Caenorhabditis elegans: one gene and its partner. The protein of the gene in region 2 interacts with the protein of the main gene of each other region in a biochemical or structural test. Each region holds a gene or a part of one and is shown on either strand. Other genes may lie near its edges. The genes, in order: ced-3 and asp-13.

Region 1 (10,183 bases), on a different chromosome or scaffold from region 2:
GAAAAAATCACTGTAGGAAGTTCAAAAAATTTGCCTTATTTCAGAGAAAATGACACGTCGAAGGAGAAGGATTTTTTTACTCTAATTATTTTTCTTACTTGTTGAAAAGAAATAAATAAATTTAATTTGTACCACGCGTGACCTTTTTAATTCAAATTCCGACAAAAAAAACCCACATGGGCCAAGGATGGTCAGTCTTAACTTTAGTGTTGATTGTGAGATTCGAAATTGCTCGTGACAAGATGAGACTTCTTCTTCTTCTTCTCCTTGCAACGATTTCAATGTCTGCCGCTGTAAATGAGGTAAGCTTTTAATTTCTAGACGTCTCTTTCTATATATATTTTGTTTTCAGTTTGAACTAACACTCAAACAACAGAGCACTTTATGACGGCACACTTCACAACTTGCTAAACTTTTTGTTCGTGGACACTGCAACGTACGCAGGCGTCGGTGAAAAACTTGAGTCAGCTTATCTCGAAATCGTTTGTTGATAAATAGTCAGGATTTTGTTTCAGATTCAATTTTGGAAAGTGCCGTGAGAACCGTGCGAAGAAGCTCATCTCGGGACATGGATATTTCATCGCTGAACATGGAAAAGGAGTGTGGGAGAACTTGTACTATCTTCCACGTAGCAACGGCGAGTATCTGTTCCTTCCACGTGCTTAGATGTGTGGGATTGATGGACGCGATATTTGATTTTTTGAAATTATTAAGTTCTGTTCTACAGAATTTTCAATAAAAAGTTTTCTTTGGCTCTTGCGTTACTTATGTTACTAATTAGTGTTATTTATATTATCAACAAGAATTAAAATTAAAATTTTAAGAAACATTGAAGCTTTGCATTAAAAATTTAAAACGTTTATTTTAATTCAATTTTTAAAATTTGGCTCACTGCGATTCTGCGTGAAATGTGATGTTTCTACAGTAACCCGTACAACCAAGGCATCGAACTTCACGACATTTACGAATTCAAATTTGAATTGCAAACTTTTTAATTTTATCGATTTTCTTTCTTTTTGAGCTTTATCAATAGCTCTAAGCGATTATTCAACAGAATTTCACTTTTTTACGCCTAAATGATTGAAAATTTGATAAAATATCAATAATTTACGGTTATCCTCTTCGTAATCTTCGCTTTCTTCCCAGAGTAGTGAAAATATCGACTTTTTGATAGAAACTGGATTTTTTAACTTCCCTGTTCGAAAAACTATTTTTCCTTAAATGAGATCTGAAATAAGGTGATAAATTAATAAATTAAGTGTATTTCTGAGGAAATTTGACTGTTTTAGCACAATTAATCTTGTTTCAGAAAAAAAGTCCAGTTTTCTAGATTTTTCCGTCTTATTGTCGAATTAATATCCCTATTATCACTTTTTCATGCTCATCCTCGAGCGGCAGCGTCTCAAAGAATTGTGAGAGCAAACGCGCTCCATTGACCTCCACACTCAGCCGCCAAAAACAAACGTTCGAACATTCGTGTGTTGTGCCTCCTTTTCCGTTATCTTGCAGTCATCTTTTGTCGTTTTTTTCTTTGTTCTTTTTGTTGAACGTGTTGCTAAGCAATTATTACATCAATTGAAGAAAAGGCTCGCCGATTTATTGTTGCCAGAAAGATTCTGAGATTCTCGAAGTCGATTTTATAATATTTAACCTTGGTTTTTGCATTGTTTCGTTTAAAAAAACCACTGTTTATGTGAAAAACGATTAGTTTACTAATAAAACTACTTTTAAACCTTTACCTTTACCTCACCGCTCCGTGTTCATGGCTCATAGATTTTCGATACTCAAATCCAAAAATAAATTTACGAGGGCAATTAATGTGAAACAAAAACAATCCTAAGATTTCCACATGTTTGACCTCTCCGGCACCTTCTTCCTTAGCCCCACCACTCCATCACCTCTTTGGCGGTGTTCTTCGAAACCCACTTAGGAAAGCAGTGTGTATCTCATTTGGTATGCTCTTTTCGATTTTATAGCTCTTTGTCGCAATTTCAATGCTTTAAACAATCCAAATCGCATTATATTTGTGCATGGAGGCAAATGACGGGGTTGGAATCTTAGATGAGATCAGGAGCTTTCAGGGTAAACGCCCGGTTCATTTTGTACCACATTTCATCATTTTCCTGTCGTCCTTGGTATCCTCAACTTGTCCCGGTTTTGTTTTCGGTACACTCTTCCGTGATGCCACCTGCTCCGTCTCAATTATCGTTTAGAAATGTGAACTGTCCAGATGGGTGACTCATATTGCTGCTGCTACAATCCACTTTCTTTTCTCATCGGCATGCTTACGAGCCCATCATAAACTTTTTTTTCCGCGAAATTTGCAATAAACCGGCCAAAAACTTTCTCCAAATTGTTACGCAATATATACAATCCATAAGAATATCTTCTCAATGTTTATGATTTCTTCGCAGCACTTTCTCTTCGTGTGCTAACATCTTATTTTTATAATATTTCCGCTAAAATTCCGATTTTTGAGTATTAATTTATCGTAAAATTATCATAATAGCACCGAAAACTACAAAAAATGGTAAAGTCTTTTAAATCGGCTCGACATTATCGTATTAAGGAATCACAAAATTCTGAGAATGCGTACTGCGCAACATATTTGACGCGCAAAATATCTCGTAGCGAAAACTACAGTAATTCTTTAAATGACTACTGTAGCGCTTGTGTCGATTTACGGGCTCAATTTTTGAAAATAATTTTTTTTTTCGAATTTTGACAACCCGTAAATCGTCACAAGCGCTACGGTAGTCATTTAAAGGATTACTGTAGTTCTAGCTACGAGATATTTTGCGCGCCAAATATGATGCGTAATACGCATTCTCTGAATTTTGTGTTTCCGTAATAATTTCACAAGATTTTGGCATTCCTCTTTAAAGGCGCACGGATTTATTCCAATGGGTCTCGGCACGCAAAAAGTTTGATAGACTTTTAAATTCTCCTTGCATTTTTAATTCAATTACTAAAATTTTCGTGAATTTTTCTGTTAAAATTTTTAAAATCAGTTTTCTAATATTTTCCAGGCTGACAAACAGAAACAAAAACACAACAAACATTTTAAAAATCAGTTTTCAAATTAAAAATAACGATTTCTCATTGAAAATTGTGTTTTATGTTTGCGAAAATAAAAGAGAACTGATTCAAAACAATTTTAACAAAAAAAAACCCCAAAATTCGCCAGAAATCAAGATAAAAAATTCAAGAGGGTCAAAATTTTCCGATTTTACTGACTTTCACCTTTTTTTTCGTAGTTCAGTGCAGTTGTTGGAGTTTTTGACGAAAACTAGGAAAAAAATCGATAAAAATTACTCAAATCGAGCTGAATTTTGAGGACAATGTTTAAAAAAAAACACTATTTTTCCAATAATTTCACTCATTTTCAGACTAAATCGAAAATCAAATCGTACTCTGACTACGGGTCAGTAGAGAGGTCAACCATCAGCCGAAGATGATGCGTCAAGATAGAAGGAGCTTGCTAGAGAGGAACATTATGATGTTCTCTAGTCATCTAAAAGTCGATGAAATTCTCGAAGTTCTCATCGCAAAACAAGTGTTGAATAGTGATAATGGAGATATGATTAATGTGAGTTTTTAATCGAATAATAATTTTAAAAAAAAATTGATAATATAAAGAATATTTTTGCAGTCATGTGGAACGGTTCGCGAGAAGAGACGGGAGATCGTGAAAGCAGTGCAACGACGGGGAGATGTGGCGTTCGACGCGTTTTATGATGCTCTTCGCTCTACGGGACACGAAGGACTTGCTGAAGTTCTTGAACCTCTCGCCAGATCGTAGGTTTTTAAAGTTCGGCGCAAAAGCAAGGGTCTCACGGAAAAAGAGGCGGATCGTAATTTTGCAACCCACCGGCACGGTTTTTTCCTCCGAAAATCGGAAATTATGCACTTTCCCAAATATTTGAAGTGAAATATATTTTATTTACTGAAAGCTCGAGTGATTATTTATTTTTTAACACTAATTTTCGTGGCGCAAAAGGCCATTTTGTAGATTTGCCGAAAATACTTGTCACACACACACACACACATCTCCTTCAAATATCCCTTTTTTCCAGTGTTGACTCGAATGCTGTCGAATTCGAGTGTCCAATGTCACCGGCAAGCCATCGTCGGAGCCGCGCATTGAGCCCCGCCGGCTACACTTCACCGACCCGAGTTCACCGTGACAGCGTCTCTTCAGTGTCATCATTCACTTCTTATCAGGATATCTACTCAAGAGCAAGATCTCGTTCTCGATCGCGTGCACTTCATTCATCGGATCGACACAATTATTCATCTCCTCCAGTCAACGCATTTCCCAGCCAACCTTGTATGTTGATGCGAACACTAAATTCTGAGAATGCGCATTACTCAACATATTTGACGCGCAAAATATCTCGTAGCGAAAAATACAGTAACCCTTTAAATGACTATTGTAGTGTCGATTTACGGGCTCGATTTTCGAAACGAATATATGCTCGAATTGTGACAACGAATTTTAATTTGTCATTTTTGTGTTTTCTTTTGATATTTTTGATCAATTAATAAATTATTTCCGTAAACAGACACCAGCGCTACAGTACTCTTTTAAAGAGTTACAGTAGTTTTCGCTTCAAGATATTTTGAAAAGAATTTTAAACATTTTGAAAAAAAATCATCTAACATGTGCCAAAACGCTTTTTTCAAGTTTCGCAGATTTTTTGATTTTTTTCATTCAAGATATGCTTATTAACACATATAATTATCATTAATGTGAATATCTTGTAGAAATTTTGGTTTTCGTTCTAGTATGCTCTACTTTTGAAATTGCTCAACGAAAAAATCATGTGGTTGTTCATATGATGACGAAAAATGCATTTTTTATATATTTTCCCCTATTCATGTGTGCAGAAAAATGTAAAAAAGCGCATGCATTTTTCGACATTTTTTACATCGAACGACAGCTCACTTCACATGCTGAAGACGAGAGACGCGGAGAAATACCACACATCTTTCTGCGTCTCTCGTCTTCAGCATGTGAAATGGGATGTCGGTCGATGTAAAAAAATGTCGAATAATGTAAAAAATGCATGCGTTTTTTTACACTTTTCTGCACAAATGAATAGGGGGAAAATGTATTAAAATACATTTTTTGTATTTTTCAACATCACATGATTAACCCCATTATTTTTTCGTTGAGCAACTTAAAAAGTAGAGAATATTAGAGCGAAAACCAAAATTTCTTCAAGATATTACCTTTATTGATAATTATAGATGTTAATAAGCATATCTTGAATGAAAGTCAGCAAAAATATGTGCGAAACACCTGAAAAAAATCAAAAATTCTGCGAAAATTGAAAAAATGCATTAAAATACATTTTTGCATTTTTCTACATCACATGAATGTAGAAAATTAAAAGGGAAATCAAAATTTCTAGAGGATATAATTGAATGAAACATTGCGAAATTAAAATGTGCGAAACGTCAAAAAAGAGGAAATTTGGGTATCAAAATCGATCCTAAAACCAACACATTTCAGCATCCGCCAACTCTTCATTCACCGGATGCTCTTCTCTCGGATACAGTTCAAGTCGTAATCGCTCATTCAGCAAAGCTTCTGGACCAACTCAATACATATTCCATGAAGAGGATATGAACTTTGTCGATGCACCAACCATAAGCCGTGTTTTCGACGAGAAAACCATGTACAGAAACTTCTCGAGTCCTCGTGGAATGTGCCTCATCATAAATAATGAACACTTTGAGCAGATGCCAACACGGAATGGTACCAAGGCCGACAAGGACAATCTTACCAATTTGTTCAGATGCATGGGCTATACGGTTATTTGCAAGGACAATCTGACGGGAAGGGTACGGCGAAATTATATTACCCAAACGCGAAATTTTTGCCATTTTTGCGCCGAAAATGTGGCGCCCGGTCTCGACACGACAATTTGTGTTAAATGCAAAAATGTATAATTTTGCAAAAAACAAAATTTTGAACTTCCGCGAAAATGATTTACCTAGTTTCGAAATTTTCGTTTTTTCCGGCTACATTATGTGTTTTTTCTTAGTTTTTCTATAATATTTGATGTAAAAAACCGTTTGTAAATTTTCAGACAATTTTCCGCATACAAAACTTGATAGCACGAAATCAATTTTCTGAATTTTCAAAATTATCCAAAAATGCACAATTTAAAATTTGTGAAAATTGGCAAACGGTGTTTCAATATGAAATGTATTTTTAAAAACTTTAAAAACCACTCCGGAAAAGCAATAAAAATCAAAACAACGTCACAATTCAAATTCAAAAGTTATTCATCCGATTTGTTTATTTTTGCAAAATTTGAAAAAATCATGAAGGATTTAGAAAAGTTTTATAACATTTTTTCTAGATTTTTCAAAATTTTTTTTAACAAATCGAGAAAAAGAGAATGAAAAATCGATTTTAAAAATATCCACAGCAACGAGAGTTTGAAATTACAGTACTCCTTAAAGGCGCACACCCCATTTGCATTGACCAAAAATTTGTCGTGTCGAGACCAGGTACCGTAGTTTTTGTCGCAAAAATTGCACCATTGGACAATAAACCTTCCTAATCACCAAAAAGTAAAATTGAAATCTTCGAAAAGCCAAAAAATTCAAAAAAAAAGTCGAATTTCGATTTTTTTTTTGGTTTTTTGGTCCCAAAAACCAAAAAATCAATTTTTCGTCAAAATACCAAAAGAAACCCAAAAAATTTCCCAGCCTTGTTCCTAATGTAAACTGATATTTAATTTCCAGGGAATGCTCCTGACAATTCGAGACTTTGCCAAACACGAATCACACGGAGATTCTGCGATACTCGTGATTCTATCACACGGAGAAGAGAATGTGATTATTGGAGTTGATGATATACCGATTAGTACACACGAGATATATGATCTTCTCAACGCGGCAAATGCTCCCCGTCTGGCGAATAAGCCGAAAATCGTTTTTGTGCAGGCTTGTCGAGGCGGTTCGTTTTTTATTTTAATTTTAATATAAATATTTTAAATAAATTCATTTTCAGAACGTCGTGACAATGGATTCCCAGTCTTGGATTCTGTCGACGGAGTTCCTGCATTTCTTCGTCGTGGATGGGACAATCGAGACGGGCCATTGTTCAATTTTCTTGGATGTGTGCGGCCGCAAGTTCAGGTTGCAATTTAATTTCTTGAATGAGAATATTCCTTCAAAAAATCTAAAATAGATTTTTATTCCAGAAAGTCCGACGAAAAAATTGCGATATAATTACGAAATTTGTGATAAAATGACAAACCAATCAGCATCGTCGATCTCCGCCCACTTCATCGGATTGGTTTGAAAGTGGGCGGAGTGAATTGCTGATTGGTCGCAGTTTTCAGTTTAGAGGGAATTTAAAAATCGCCTTTTCGAAAATTAAAAATTGATTTTTTCAATTTTTTCGAAAAATATTCCGATTATTTTATATTCTTTGGAGCGAAAGCCCCGTCCTGTAAACATTTTTAAATGATAATTAATAAATTTTTGCAGCAAGTGTGGAGAAAGAAGCCGAGCCAAGCTGACATTCTGATTGCATACGCAACGACAGCTCAATATGTTTCGTGGAGAAACAGTGCTCGTGGATCATGGTTCATTCAAGCCGTCTGTGAAGTGTTCTCGACACACGCAAAGGATATGGATGTTGTTGAGCTGCTGACTGAAGTCAATAAGAAGGTCGCTTGTGGATTTCAGACATCACAGGGATCGAATATTTTGAAACAGATGCCAGAGGTACTTGAACAACAATCGATCTGCTAACTTTTTAAGGCACAGAAAAATAGGCAGAGCGTCCTTTTGCAAGCCTGCCGCGCGTCAACCTAGAATTTTAGTTTTTAGCTAAAATGATTGATTTTGAATATTTTATGCTAATTTTTTTGCGTTAAATTTTGAAATAGTCACTATTTATCGGGTTTCCAGTAAAAAATGTTTATTAGCCATTGGATTTTACTGAAAACGAAAATTTGTAGTTTTTCAACGAAATTTATCGATTTTTAAATGTAAAAAAAAATAGCGAAAATACATCAACATCAAGCATTTAAGCCAAAAATTGTTAACTCATTTAAAAAATTAATTCAAAGTTGTCCACGAGTATTACACGGTTGGCGCGCGGCAAGTTTGCAAAACGACGCTCCGCCTCTTTTTCTGTGCGGCTTGAAAACAAGGGTATCGGTTTTAGATTTTTCCCCAAAATTTAAATTAAATTTCAGATGACATCCCGCCTGCTCAAAAAGTTCTACTTTTGGCCGGAAGCACGAAACTCTGCCGTCTAAAATTCACTCGTGATTCATTGCCCAATTGATAATTGTCTGTATCTTCTCCCCCAGTTCTCTTTCGCCCAATTAGTTTAAAACCATGTGTATATTGTTATCCTATACTCATTTCACTTTATCATTCTATCATTTCTCTTCCCATTTTCACACATTTCCATTTCTCTACGATAATCTAAAATTATGACGTTTGTGTCTCGAACGCATAATAATTTTAATAACTCGTTTTGAATTTGATTAGTTGTTGTGCCCAGTATATATGTATGTACTATGCTTCTATCAACAAAATAGTTTCATAGATCATCACCCCAACCCCACCAACCTACCGTACCATATTCATTTTTGCCGGGAATCAATTTCGATTAATTTTAACCTATTTTTTCGCCACAAAAAATCTAATATTTGAATTAACGAATAGCATTCCCATCTCTCCCCGTGCCGGAATGCCTCCCGGCCTTTTAAAGTTCGGAACATTTGGCCAATTATGTATAAAATTTTGTAGGTCCCCCCCATCATTTCCCGCCCATCATCTCAAATTGCATTCTTTTTTCGCCGTGATATCCCGATTCTGGTCAGCAAAGATCTTTCTCATAGCCCATTCCATTCGAGCTTTCTAATAGGAATTTGAAAATTTTCGAAATTCCAGTAAATAATATTGGAAAATGGATTTTTCGAGTTTTCAGCAACACAAATTTACTTGAAACCCCATTTTCCAAAATTTCAATTTTTTCAAATTTCCCGCTATCTTCCAAAATACTCTTGTACGTTTATTATATTTCCCTCGTTTTTCTTCGATTCCTCCTCTCCGCGCACCCAATAAGTTTTATATATGTTGAGATTTATATAGCTTGTTATTATAATTATATATTTATAGATTATTATAGTTGCTTTTCTCGCCGTATGTTTGTGTGTGTGTGATTGGTATACATAGATAAAAGAAAACAAGGTGTTAACAAAACAAAGGTGAAAAATAATCAACAATTAAAGAAGGAAACAAGCTAATATAAAATTTCGCACATATATGATATGCAAGCTTCTGACAATTCCCTAGTGAGTACTACAGATTAAGAATATGTGCACAAAAATTAAAGGCTGAATTTAAGCTTCTCAAACCTCCCAGATTACAAATATTACGGGAACATATAATTCTGAGCATGCGTACTGTGCAACATACTTGACGCGCAAAATATCTCGTAGCGAAAACTACAGTAATTCTATAAATGACTACAGTAGCTCTTGTATCGATTTACGGGCTCGAATTTCAAAATGAATTAAAATAATTTATTTGTCGATGGAATATTAAAATTAAGCAAAACATGAGAAAATAATACGAAATAACCAAGGGAAAAATGAGAAGTTGCTGTCACTATTCAAAAAGTCCCTCATTTCGAAAATGGGGACCGTAAATCGACACAAGCGGTACAGTAGTCACTTAAAATAATTACTGTAGTTTTCGCTACGAGATAGCTTGCGCGTCAAAAATGTTGCCGAGTACGCATTCTCAGAATTGTTTGTTCCCGTAATATAATTTTCTAAATGTACGTCCTTATATTATATTCTCAAAGTGCAAGAAGTCATTAGAAGTTATAATATATGAAATTTTTATCAGATTTCATATTTCAGTTTTTGAAACAATATTATGTAAACTCAAAATTTATCTGACCTCAAACATTCATGACTGTTCCCACTTTCTCATTCCCACGAGGTGCAATGATAGAGCTACATTAGAGACAGGTGTTCATAGGACCATACTATTTGCTCGCAATCCTCGATTGTTCACCCTTTCTTGTTTTTTCATTCTCTTTCGTTCTGTAAGATAGCACTTCTCTATTTTCTGGTTATTCCAAACAATGACCAAGCCTCTTCATGACATTGCCTGCCAAAAAATTGCCGAA
Region 2 (5,955 bases):
AAGCGAAGGCAATATCTTTTTGAGAAGAAAATGTCGGAAAAGGTAGAATTCTAGAAAATTCTTCCAATTACAAATTTCATTTCAGAGAAAGGAAAGAAATATCGAAGAAGCTGTACAAGAAGCTGAAATATCTAGATCACGAAGAAGCTCAGCTGCAAATTTGAAATTTCTGGATATTGAAAGTTTAGATGATGAAGATTACTGGTACAGAAGCTCGAGCCAACTTTCGGATAGCCATTTGGACAATGTGGTGAATATAAAAAGGCTCAATAGTTAATTAATTTTTATTTTGTTTAGATTCAACTCGCTATTGACTTTGAAAAACCCCTACAACGTCCTTCCGCGATTAGTCTTCCAAGAATATCGGAATGTTGTGAAGATTTTGAAGAAGAGGATGAAGACGAAAATAATGATCTGGGAATTATTATAAAACTATGAAAGATTCATTGATCTCAAATTTTGAATTTATAGTGAAAAGCAGAAACCCAAGCAATTATTCTCAAGCTACATAAATTACTAATTCCCAATATTTTTCAACAAGAAATATTTCTAACATCATTCTCAAATTGATTTGTAGAACCAGAAGAACACAAATACTGTGGTGAAAGTCATTGAAACGGCCGTCGAGGAGTTGCAGAAGTCTTTGTCACAATAGCAATCGAGGCGCTCCTACAAACATAAAGTTTGAAAACTGTGCTGTAAAAATAGCGCAACTTACAGTAGTATATCCAGTTTTCTTGACCTTTTGGTTCAAGTCAAAACATCCGTTTGATGGAGTCTGATTGTTGTCTTCGCGAACGCTAGCGCATCCCTGAAAGTTAGGATCAGTTGCATACTTTTACAAGTTTATAAAAAAATTAGATACCTTTGTGTATGAAGTCCATTTGAAATTGATACTATTGAAGCCAACTCTGTGGATTTCTAAAAAGAGAATGGTACCAGTGATTCGTAAAAAAAAACAACAATCATACTTGCTCTTTTGATACAAAATGTTCCATTGGTACAAACATCGGCACCGGACGTTGCTTTACAATCTCCGTAGTACTTATCAGGGCTGATATTCAGTTCAGTGAACATTTTCTTTGTTAGCTTAGACATGTTTTCCTGACCTCCGCATTGATGGCATTGGAGCGGGTATGTTGGAGTTATAAGAAAAATTAGGAATGCGAAAAAGAAAAAGTAAAAATTAGAAGGCATTTCGAGGAAGTGAATGAGTCAAAAAATCAGAATGAGCCAAGAACTTGAGACGCTCCAAATTTAAAGGAAAACGTTATAGACAAAGACCTCCATGGATACGCGTCAAGTGACTTATTCATGTGTACAAACTACGTTTCCTCCTCTCATTTCGATGGTCCATCATCTTTTCATTTTCCACAAAATACGAAAATAGCAGAAATCACAGGACAAGGAACCACAAAAACAAAAGAAACATCAGAATACGAGAATATGAATGTATGTATTTATGAAAGAGTCTATGCAAGAGATAAACAGAATCCAACACGTTTCTGTCCGATATCATGTACATTACAATATTGTCTCATGAATGGTCCACCGAGAATCCATGAAGGTCCGAAACCAGCATAGTTTTGTGGAATTGCAGCGAAAAGGCAGGAGTTTGTCTGTAAATTATTCACATAATTTTTGATATGTAGCAAAACTTACATCAATCTTCAAAATGTAGTTATTTGCTCGAATAACATAGTTGAATTGGCCAATTTTCATCTTAATTGGCCCCGCGTCGGCATCACAAGGAATGTTAAATACTTGATTTGTTGGGTCCCACTGAAACAATTTGTAATTTTTAACGCAATCACAGAAAGTACATGCTTACAGTAGCTCCTGCAGCTTTAGCCAAGTTGTCAATTGCAGCTTGAGGTCCACATAGAAATGAAGTAGCGGTATCGGTGATTACCTCATATGTGGTTGTGGATACATATGAGCCAAGAGAAAATCCGGTTGCCTAGAAATTCAGAAAAAATACAAAAATCAAAACTCTCCAGAAATACCTGGAACTGAAAATGTCTAGCATTAGTTAGTTCCGCATATCCAATAACTGGCCCACAATGGTTTTTATCCAATCCTCCATAAGTGAATGCACCACTTGCAGAAGTTCCAGGAGCACCTCTCTGACCAAACCATGTAGTGAAAAGTGGCTGATCAAGTAGTCCTTGATTGATAGCGTTGATGATTGGAGGGGTAATGTTGTCAACAGCTAATGCAGTAAATGCAAGACCAAAGATTCCCTCTTTTGGGCTCTGCAAATGCAAAATAGTGAAAGTGAAGGAACTTGAAAAAAACGAACCCATTTGAAATCTGATCCGACAGTGTCTGCAACACCAAGGTATGATCTTGGAATAGCGAGTTGTGCTTCTCCTGATCCACCGATCTGAAAATTCCATTTTATCCTAGATGACTCCAAGAAAAGTTATTCACAGTACCAGACACGAATTTACTCCTAATTAAATTTTTGTTAATACTTTTTTACAATTTATTTATGCATTTAAATATGTAAAATTTCAGAATTTCCATCAAATAACCTTAACAGTGTCAATTCCCAATGTCCCGTAGGCATCACCGCTAGCATATTTGATCTGCCATGGGCGGTTGGTTGCAATATATGTGGATGAAGCTTTTTCATTAAATAATCTCTTTTTCTCACAGTACGTTCTGTAAAAAACTTTCGAAAAATTGTGATCACAAACGTTATTCAATTTCAAAACAGGAATACTAACGTGCAATTAGTTCCTGGAATTAAGAGATTGGCTGATCCGGTATCTAATACAACAATAAAGTTTTGATCAGGAGTTCCAACAGTAATATTTCCCATGTACTCATAGTACACATAATCTGTTGTGCTTTGAACCACAGTAGCCAGGTTAGATGATCTACTAGCAACCATACGGTCGCGGTACTCCAAATAGGCAGGATATTCTCCATTTCTGATCATTTCAATCATTCTAGATTCTTTCCATATTAATTGATGTTCGAGGACTGCAGCCGTCGAAGACCCAATAAGAAGGAAAATAATGGAAATAATACCCATTTTCTGAAAAATAAAAATAAATTGAAACACTGAATGAAAAAATAATTATTCTCCGCTGAAATGGGAAAGAAAACTAAATAGGGTTATCGGCGAAACATTCTAACTAATTGAATTCACTGATAACATTGCAACATCAGATTATGAACTCTGATACTGTGTTTCAGAATATTTATTTGAATTGAGTCTGATAAATGGATTACCGTATTTTCCCTACGAGTTTTTTATAATTCAACTTTAGATGTCAGATTCACACGTACTAGTTCACGCTTGCCTTTCATCAACCAGTTTTGCACATTCGTTTTTCATATTGACACTAAACAAGTCTGTAAAAGTGCACATGGTCATAAATCAGGCAATCGGGCTAAACGTCTCTCGTCGGAGACCACCCAAATCTTGCGGAATGTCGCCTTTCGTTTTCTACAAAACAGCATGTTCTCAATTTTGAATGGACCCTCGGGACCCGAGACTCTTAAAAAACCAAACGAAGAAGAAGGCCACCCTGGGCTCTCCCAGTTCGTTCTTCTCATTTCCTTTGTAAAGCGGAATGATAGTTAGGGTGGCGCTTTTGTTTGCAGAAAAAAACGAAGACGGAGGGTCCCTATGGTACAAAAAGTGCAATTGGAAAAGGAACGAAAGAAGACGGAAAAGAATAGAGAAAAAACTGGAAGCCAAATTAAATTTAGTTGAAGAATGAGATGAAGAGGAATGTTGCCCTATTCACTTGAATCGCATTTTCTTGTTTCTATTTTTGCTGGTTTCATCATTTTGAGTTGATTGTATTTATGTGATTATTACGATTTTACAAACACCACGCACATTCCCTTTAACGATATTATAACTACAAATATCTGAAAAGGTTCCCTAGCTTTATACGAGCCTATCAAAACTTCAACCTCAAATGCTCCACATTGTCTGGTTGACACGATTTATTGTCACACAAGTGTAGAAAGAATATGATCGTTTCGATATTCAAACGGTGATAACCTTTTGAAATTGTTTTCCCATTGACAGCAAGTGAATTGATTAACCAATGAATGGGAATACTGTAATTAAATGACTTTTTATACTTCACTATGAGCTGTGATTTGCATAATGGAGATCTTTAACTATTACAATAATTTTTTGAACATCAGTAGATACCTAGAAGTACACTAAACTACTAAAGTAGGGATAGAAAAATAACGGTTATGTTTTTTAAGTTTTCCAAATTCTGAAAAATTAGATTTTTTGTCTTGTAGGTAAAATTCCCATAAAAAAGTTATGCACTTTTCCGTTTTTTGAACTTGAATATTTTTCCACTTCCAAATGGTTTTTTTGTCATTCACTATATGTTGACTCAAACTGTTCGAGTTTAAATTTAGTTTAAAATTTAGTTTTTTTCAAATTAAAATTTCTGAACACATATAGTGTTCCATATGTTTTTTTTCAATACTTATCTCCCCTTTAATCCTCCATGACCAATATTTCAGGGTATCACAACTTCTTGCCGCTCTCCTCATTTTCCCATTATGCTCAAATGCACCATGGAAACTTGAACCTTCGACCTCACTTTCCCTCTCATAAAATATATCTGTGTCTCTTCATCACTCACACTATTCCCAAATCTAGACTCATCTATCACTAATGTCACCGTTTCGTCGCGTGTCGCTCCCCCGTATTGTCCCAACTTGTTCTACTCGGTCCTTCTCCATTTCCTCTCTGTTTTCGCGCACTTTTACCCAATAAATCGAATGAGCGAAAAACGAGAGGACGCGGGACGTACACAACTCGGAGACAAAGACAATGTTGCCCTGTGTGAAGAAGGTGGCTAACCCCCCGACCCGCTAAGTTTTTGGGAAAAGAAGACAAGGTGACATGCAAAAATTTATGGATCTGGGTATACTTCAGGACGGTATACTTCTGAAGGCTGGGAAAACAGTTTGGAATTGCGTAATACAGCGGCGGCTTTTGATTAATTTCAGAATTCTGAAATTCATGACAAGGTCGTAAGAGTAATTTGACGTTTTGATGAAAGTAGCCCTGTATAGTTAAGATGCTTGTTCACTCATAATAAGCTAAGCCTTCAAGGTATGCACAAAAATGACTAAATGGTGTCAAAGTGGCATGCAAAAATTTATGGAGCATCCAGCTTTCAAATCTTTGTGAAATCATACAGTAAAATTTTTGTTGACACCATAAAAAAGCACTGGATAGTTTGCATTCCGCTGCTAGTTAGATTTCATTTTTTCGCAATCGATCGGCCAATCGGCAATCAAGAAGAGCAAAGACTGGAGCCCCTGATTGGACAGCGCCCGTATCCGTCCCACCTGAAGTTCTAGTTAAATTAGGTTCCTTACTTTTGGAAATATGTGAGTAAGTAACAGTAAAAATCTGATAAAATTAATAACAACTAGACCATTTACCGATTTTTTTAAAAGGTATATTCTTTTGATTCTTGAGCATTTCTGTCAATTGGTTCAATTGAGAACGTCTTCAAAATGTTCAGCCTAATAATTTTCATTTGATCCTACTCAAGGGTGTCAATGTCCCGTAAAAATTACAAAAACGGGACAGCGGGACGTCCCGTTCCCGTGATAATTTTAAAAACGGGACAACGGGACGTCCCGTTCCCGTAAAAACACTCAAAAAACGGGAAAACGGGACAAACGGGACACGGGTTTTTTGAAGCTTTTTGAACTTTTCTGAAAATAATTTATTTTTGGAATGAACTGTTGCAGGTAGATTCTGTACCCCATTTCAACAATGTCAATTTTCAAACATCCCATTTATTCTGAAATATGTCCTGAGTCTTCTACACGTCGTTTTACTTTTCAGACATGATTCCCACGATTTCTGTGCACTTTGTGAAAGTACACCCTTTCTGATTCCATTTCCGTACCACCAAGTGAATATAAAACATAACCTCTGAGAGT

The links.
Region 1: of the proteins of asp-13 (region 2) and ced-3, one has a biochemical effect on the other in vitro, tested with the Caenorhabditis elegans proteins (one study listed by BioGRID).

The regions. Positions count from the first base shown.
Region 1 is NC_003282.8:13,197,338-13,207,520, reverse strand, and holds ced-3 (Cell death protein 3 subunit p17), read left to right. Parts: upstream 1-3,383; 5' UTR 3,384-3,454; coding exon 3,455-3,589; intron 3,590-3,652; coding exon 3,653-3,798; intron 3,799-4,076; coding exon 4,077-4,330; intron 4,331-5,518; coding exon 5,519-5,850; intron 5,851-6,762; coding exon 6,763-6,976; intron 6,977-7,030; coding exon 7,031-7,158; intron 7,159-7,231; exon of another isoform or gene 7,232-7,381; intron 7,382-7,512; coding exon 7,513-7,752; intron 7,753-8,228; coding exon 8,229-8,291; 3' UTR 8,292-9,260; downstream 9,261-10,183. Other genes in the region: C48D1.9 (VHS domain-containing protein), read left to right, coding at 45-53; C48D1.1 (Zer-1-like leucine-rich repeats region domain-containing protein), read left to right, coding at 10,139-10,183.
Region 2 is NC_003283.11:8,640,148-8,646,102, forward strand, and holds asp-13 (Peptidase A1 domain-containing protein), read right to left. Parts: upstream 3,047-5,955; 5' UTR 3,044-3,046; coding exon 2,733-3,043; intron 2,668-2,732; coding exon 2,538-2,667; intron 2,387-2,537; coding exon 2,303-2,386; intron 2,256-2,302; coding exon 2,007-2,255; intron 1,961-2,006; coding exon 1,832-1,960; intron 1,783-1,831; coding exon 1,663-1,782; intron 1,620-1,662; coding exon 1,473-1,619; 3' UTR 1,455-1,472; downstream 1-1,454. Other genes in the region: acd-4 (DEgenerin Like), read left to right, coding at 1-42, 86-250, 298-438; nssp-59 (Protein quiver), read right to left, coding at 562-669, 719-811, 866-921, 972-1,197.